Xenopus tropicalis: one gene and its partner. The protein of the gene in region 1 purifies or fractionates together with the protein of each later gene. This does not show direct contact. Links are inferred from orthologs where the notes say so. Each region holds a gene or a part of one and is shown on either strand. Other genes may lie near its edges. The genes, in order: fhl2 and eya3.

The links.
Region 2: the proteins of fhl2 (region 1) and eya3 purify together in Homo sapiens (affinity purification with mass spectrometry; 3 studies listed by BioGRID and IntAct, with this or other methods). This does not show direct contact. The link is inferred for Xenopus tropicalis from reciprocal best matches to the Homo sapiens genes FHL2 and EYA3.

What each region holds. Positions count from the first base shown.
Region 1 is NC_030678.2:111,696,204-111,699,424, reverse strand, and holds part of fhl2 (four and a half LIM domains protein 2), read left to right. Parts: intron 1-2,307; coding exon 2,308-2,477; intron 2,478-3,026; coding exon 3,027-3,213; intron 3,214-3,221. UniProt on the Homo sapiens protein: May function as a molecular transmitter linking various signaling pathways to transcriptional regulation. Negatively regulates the transcriptional repressor E4F1 and may function in cell growth.
Region 2 is NC_030678.2:79,400,772-79,404,296, reverse strand, and holds the end of eya3 (eyes absent homolog 3), read right to left. Parts: intron 2,185-3,525; coding exon 2,084-2,184; intron 1,615-2,083; coding exon 1,534-1,614; 3' UTR 635-1,533; downstream 1-634. UniProt on the Homo sapiens protein: Tyrosine phosphatase that specifically dephosphorylates 'Tyr-142' of histone H2AX (H2AXY142ph). 'Tyr-142' phosphorylation of histone H2AX plays a central role in DNA repair and acts as a mark that distinguishes between apoptotic and repair responses to genotoxic stress.

The DNA of each region.
Region 1 (3,221 bases):
TTATATTATTTATTGTAAATGATTTACAATAAGTATATTGTATATATTATAATATAATGCTTTAAAATGACATATTTCACCAGCAGCCTCCAATTATGAAGGAAATATAGTAGCTGTTTTCAATTTCTAGAAATGGCTGCTCTGTACACTGAGCAGAGGCACTGCATGAACAGAAAGGGAGATGCAATTAAATGATTACGACGGGAAAGGGATAAATATATTTTTCATCCAGATGGAGCATTTGGGAGGGTAACCCATTAGTTCCTAAGGTCTTTACCGTTACATCCTGTACACTCCATTTCTATTTCTGCCAGGTTAGAATCTGCTATTCCTCTGGGTGGAAAAAGAGGGAAAGACTTTGCACATGGAATGTGCAAAATGTGCAGTTTCACATGTTTCTAATTTAACTTGACCACCAATGCCTAGGCTGTAGTATGTCTGGTACAGACCTGCTGGGTTACTGTATATGTAGTGGATTGGATTTTATTTACTTTTTTATTTGAGTAGGAAAAATCCTGGGGAACTGATTTATAACAAGGAAGCCAATTACATAGCATGTGCCTCAAAAATCAGTTCAGACATAGGTTTTAGTCTGCAGTCCTTAAGCACCTATTATAAATATCCCTTTTTATAATTAAAATTCAATGGGAAGCCTGCAGTAGCAGCCAGCTGGTGTCACAGCGCTGTGATGGGGATCTTCCTGTAAAATTCTGTTCCTCATTTGTTCTAATTTAGGAGAATAATTATGATCACACGCCATGCTATTTACAACTTAGTATCATTCTGTCTACTTTTCAGGCAATTTAGAGGTAAAACTGCATTTCCTGAAGCTATTTATACTCATAGGCTTCTGCTAATACAACATACCATATATCATGTAATTCAGTACAATGTACACATTTTGCATTAAAGACAATGCCAGACTGGAGTGCTGGGGTGCAAGTGGAATGTTCCCAGGATCAGTAATGATCTTGTGGTGTCCCACATTTCTTGTGGTCCTTCCCTTTGAATATAACAACGTCACAGATATTTTATACAGCATTGTATCAGCAGATCAGTAGTAGTTACAAGAGTATCTAGAGGCAGCAAAAAAGTGTCCACCACACAGTAAATGGATTAAGGATACCAAATCAAGCTACCCAGATCTTCAGGTTGATCCCCCTACCTACAGCATTCAGTGCAACAGGGGAACTATTACCTTAGAGAAGAGGATTTTAATTTCTCTCTTTATTGGTTTTCCTTTGACCCTTTATTTGTATTTCTGCCCATTTGCCTTGACTAATTTGCCCAGGTATTCTATTACAGATTTTTATTTATGTTTCAAAAGAGAAGAGCATCAGTGGTGGTCAGGGCTGCCATCAGAAAGTTTTGGGCCCTATACAAGTTATTTATATGGGCCCCCCATGAACACAAGTGTGCGGGACCAAAATCTTGTGTGTGTAATATAAACAGCTGATGTTACTCTGTAATAAGCAGTTCATATAGAGTTCCATTAATTAATATACTAATTAACAGTAGGTTTATTGGGGGTGAAGTTTGCCCTAAGTTCATGCCCCTGCTCTGCGCTGTCATTGGCCCCAGAAGAACAGTCCCCCTGTCCCCCCTGATTGCTACCCTGCTGGTGGTAGTGTGGGGCTGTAGCAATGGATTAAACTTGTAGCTATATAAGAATAGTTCAGACATGTGCTGGGCAATAATAACTAGTAAGTTAAGCCATGGCCCACTATTTTTTCAAATTTACTTTAAAAAATTTGGAGGGCAACCATGGAGTCTCAGCTTTGATACTTCAACTTCCATTACAAGGCAGACAAAAGTAATGTTAGCAATTGTTCTTATTGTGGGTGTAATTGCCTGCTCTTTATATAACATTGAATGGATCATTTGTAAATGTGCAAAATCTTGTATTTTTTAACCACATCTTGTTCTTTTTTTTTCATTACAAAAAGTGAATGAAAAACAAATTACTTTGTAATGATTTTGGAGCAGTATTTATATAGTACAGGTATCGGACCCCTTATCCGGAAACCCATTATCCAGAAAGTTCTGAATTACAGAAGGGCCGTCTCCCATAGACTCCATTTTAATCAAATAATTCACATTTTTAAAAATGATTTCCTTTTTCTCTGTAATAATAAAACAGAACCTTGTACTTGATTGCAACTAAGTTATAATTAATCCCCATTGGAGCCAAAATAATGCTATTGGGTTTAATTACTGTTTAAATTATTTTATTAGCAGACTTAAGGTAGGAGATCCAAATTACGGAAAGAGTTTCCCTGGACTCTAACTGTGCAACCTCTGTTACAGGAACTCGCAAGATGGAGTATAAAGGTAACAGCTGGCATGAGACCTGCTTTATTTGCTCCCGTTGCCAACAACCCATAGGGACAAAAAGCTTCATTCCAAAGGATAATCAGAATTTCTGTGTGGCATGCTATGAAAAACAATTTGCAATGCACTGCGTCCAGTGCAAGAAGGTACTGGAAATGTCATAATTATTATAGAACCAAAAAATGTATATGTATAATACACAAGAAAACACAATAGTGTTTAAAGCCTGTGAAATAAAGCCTGATTGTAAGTACAGCAAATACAAACTTCAACGCCCCCATTGTCTTTCTACTGAAATAAGTGCTTTTCCAAGAATGACAAAGCTAACGAGTGAAAAATTTACTTATACGCAAACAAGATATAATAATGATAAAATATTATTATTATTATTATTATTATTATTAAGTATTAATATCAATAAATATTATTTAACTTAGTGCAGACACTGATGGCCAGCACAAGGCCTATATTGCAGAGTTTACAGTTTTATAGTTTCAGTATTTGAATTTCAAGCAGTGTGCATGATGTACACTACAAAAAACAAGTCAATTGGCCATCCAGATCTGACTTAATGACCAGCTTTAAACTCCATTATTTCCTTTCTACCATTTTGGATATTTAGTACTTTTCTTGATGATGAATTGATTTTGCTGAAAAGACTTGAGACTGATTCTTTTAATTCTATTGTCATATAGGCCATCACTACTGGAGGTGTTACATACCGAGATCAGCCTTGGCATAAGGAATGCTTTATTTGTACAGGATGCAAGAAACCGCTATCTGGTCAACGCTTCACCTCTCGTGATGAATTTGCCTACTGTCTGAATTGCTTCTGCAACCTGTATGCCAAGAAATGTGCTGGATGCACCAACCCTATAAGTGGTACATGT
Region 2 (3,525 bases), about 32 Mb from region 1:
TTTGTACAGCGCTGGGACAAACTCAGCCACTTTATGAATAAATAGAAAATAAATCATTTGTGACTCTTTTTGCTGAAAGAAAAAGGAAACCAGTGCTGGTGACTGACCCCAACTTCCAAAGTCTGCTTCTTCAGTGATAAAATACTTATGTAATGTTTCCTTTCGTTCCTTTGCAAACAGAAAGTGATAATGAAAAACAGGTATGGTAATCCAGAAAGTGCACCAGATGAAGGGCATTTCCTATGCTGCCATACACACAGGCAGCATAGGGCAGGCAGTACATACAGTGACAATGCTGGCACTGCTTCTACAGTCTAAGGTGTGAACAATGTGGGCACTTAAAGTCTGAGCCTGAGGTGTGAACAGTACAGATTTAGGTGAACAGTACAGATTTAGCAATCTAATGTAGTTTTGTGATTTGGATATAACTATTTTTCTCTTTTAAAATTTTAAATGTTAAGTGGTATAACTTCTGGTCAATGTACCAGTACCACTGGTATGTGATGGTGGCTTGATGAGACTTTTGCATGTTGGGCACTCTTTGTTCAGTCCAGTCATATGGCCATTAATGTAGGTAAGAACATTATTCAGTAATCAGTAACTGTATGGTTTGCATGTATGTAGGACTGCTTTTTCCAACCTCATCAAATACTGAAATTTTATTCCCAGTTAAGACACACAAAAATGAGAAAAACATTAAAATAAATGTAAACACTAAACCCTAACTTGAAATGAGAAATGAAAAATCTTGCTTTTTTTGAATAATGAAAGAAGTACAGAAAACCAAGAAATGAAAGAAGAAGAAAAAAAAAATCCACATTTTAATAAGTTACTGTCATCCAAGGTGATATCATGGTTAGGGGTGTTCTCTCCCCAATCGAGGTATTTCAGAAACTTTTCCAGAATGGCAGTCCAGAAAAAAAAGAAAGAAATCATATGCAATTTCTTCAGTTACTATTAAAAATCCCAGAAGTGTATTTGTAACCTGATGGGTGCAGACTCCATGGTAGAGAGCTGTAAAGCAGTAGTAGTATCTAGTCTGATGCAGACAATCTATCTTAGATTTGTTTACTTCATGTGAAAAGGTGGTACGGGTTTATAGGAAAATCAGAACCCACTGCTACAATTATTTACGGATTTTAAAGAACAGATACTGTGAAAAACTAACAGGCATATAAATCTCCCTACCTGCATTAAAACAGAATTGACTACTGATGGCTTTCAGCAGAAATTCTAGTAGGAGAAGGAGAAAAAGTTGGCTATCTAAAAGTGGGCTTTAAAGGGGAAGGAGGATGTATAGCAGGAGGTTAGGATCTTGAAACTGATGAATGGTGGCATCTTGAATGAAACTGTAGAAAATGTCTCAATCTTCTGTTGTGGCCAGACCTCTGGATCTGAAGCCGAACTAAGTCTTTCAGATCAGTTACATTTTCATCTTAAGCCTAAAGCTTATGGCCAGTTTGTTACTCTTGGGCCTGAATGCAGGTCTTTGGGTTTCTAAAAGGCTTGAAGTCCACTTTCTTACAGAGATCCTCACAAGAAGTCCAATTCCAGAGCTTGGTGTAGTGAGATGAGGTCATTGTGGTTTGTTATTCTCCAGAAGGGCATATTGTGCTAAATGGATCAGAAAAAGGAAAATCATTTGACACCTGGGTAACTACCCAAAATGCACACTATATTTTTTAGACTGGGTGTATGCGCTCTTATACCTTGTAATATGGACAACAGGAAAGGGCTAGAGGAGGTCCAGACTGGCCCAAACAGCCCCCCAACAGGCCCAATAATAGTGATTATCTATGTCATCTTAAAGCAGCTCCTCTGGCTGCCATTTTCCAAAATCCACAGTTTCCCTAAACTGGTGGCACAAACATGGGGACCAGAAAGTATCAGCCTACTGGTTGAAGTTTGGAATATACTTTTAACAAACTTTGTCAAACACATGGGGGAGTTCTCAAGTTTCAGATTTATGACTTATTAATTTCATATCACCATAATTACATAGCTTGTAAAGGGGTTGTCTCTCTGTTATATCAGTGCACATCAATATGGACAAATATATACAAATAATACATTTCCAATATACCTGTTTTGCAGCCATCTCTTCATCTCTCCCATCTCCAATTACCACATAAGTGACTTTCTTCCCAAACCTTGTCACTATTCTTTCAAAGCAGCTTTCTTTTCCTAAGAAGGAAGTAAGAAAAAATGCCTAGTTTTACTAATGATAAATATAAGTACAATGACACAGGCAATGGGTCTGTAAGCTGGATTAAAGAATACTAGGGTTAAAATAGGCAAGTTTTGCCTTTTGCCCTTTAAGTTGAATGGCTGCCACCATAGCTGCATAACAGCTAATTTATGTAACTAGTACAGTTTGTGAATCAAATACACAATGCATTACATTTAAATGCATATAAAATATTAGTGTTACTGGTCAATTATAGAAAGCAAGTAAGTATAATGTTGTCCATGAAAGTTTCTCCTGTTTAAAGCACTGTGATCTTTGGGTGAGGAATTGTTGTTTGAGGAAGTAAGTGATGATATGTATTATGTTGCAGGTTCTTGCTTATCAGCCATATATCAGACTGTGCCGTTCAGAGTGAAGGTTTGAGGGCTGCATGTAGCGCCTGCCAAGGTATTTTTATAGTCACAATCTGCCCAGTGGTTCAATTAACTTTTCAATGTGACATTTTTATTTAAATCTGGTCTTGAAATGTGATATGTTTTGTAAGTGGCCAGTACATGGGAAGTGATTTACAGTGCAGATCTAATACAACTACAAGCGAATCATACAATAGCAATGTTTCAAAGGATTTACTGACAACTGTTATTTATGTTTTGACACAAAATTAAATAAAAGGAACAACCAAAAGTATTTGTGCTCCCACATTCGGTACAAGCCTTGGACTCACTTCACAGAATATTACTTGCCCCTAAGGTTAAAGGAGAAGGAAAGGCTAATAAAGAGTTAATCCCAAGCTGCAGGCATACCTTCAGTTCTCTCAATAGTGCCCCTAAGTCTCCCCATATTTCAGCCGTTCAGAAGATCAGAAGCCAAACAAAGAAAAAAAATGCTGAGCTGGGTAGAGAAGATTTCCCATAATACATCGCTCCCCCAAGACTTAGAGATTCGTTACTGCAGGCGGCGCATGCGCAGAGGGCAGAAGCGTCTGGTTGCCATGGCGACCCAGCATCGCTGAGTTCTCTGACAAGCAGGAGGGGGAGGGCGAGCTGGTGCTGTGAGCGGTGATTGTTTGTGGCAGGAGCGGGGGTTTGTAGAGCTTGGGGGGGTTTGTGCAGCTGCAGAAACTTTGTAACAGGAGCAGGGAGCCGGCTTGTGCTTTTCAGCCCATAGAGACACGCTGGATAAGATGGCGGCGCCGTTCACTGAAACAAGCGTGTAAGTTCTAGTAAGTGTATCTCTGTAAATCTTTCATTAGGCAAGCCAGGAATATAGCGTTTTTACACAGCAATAGTAGTACTTTTTAATAGTGTGCTTAATAGATTTTGCCTTTCCTTCTCCTT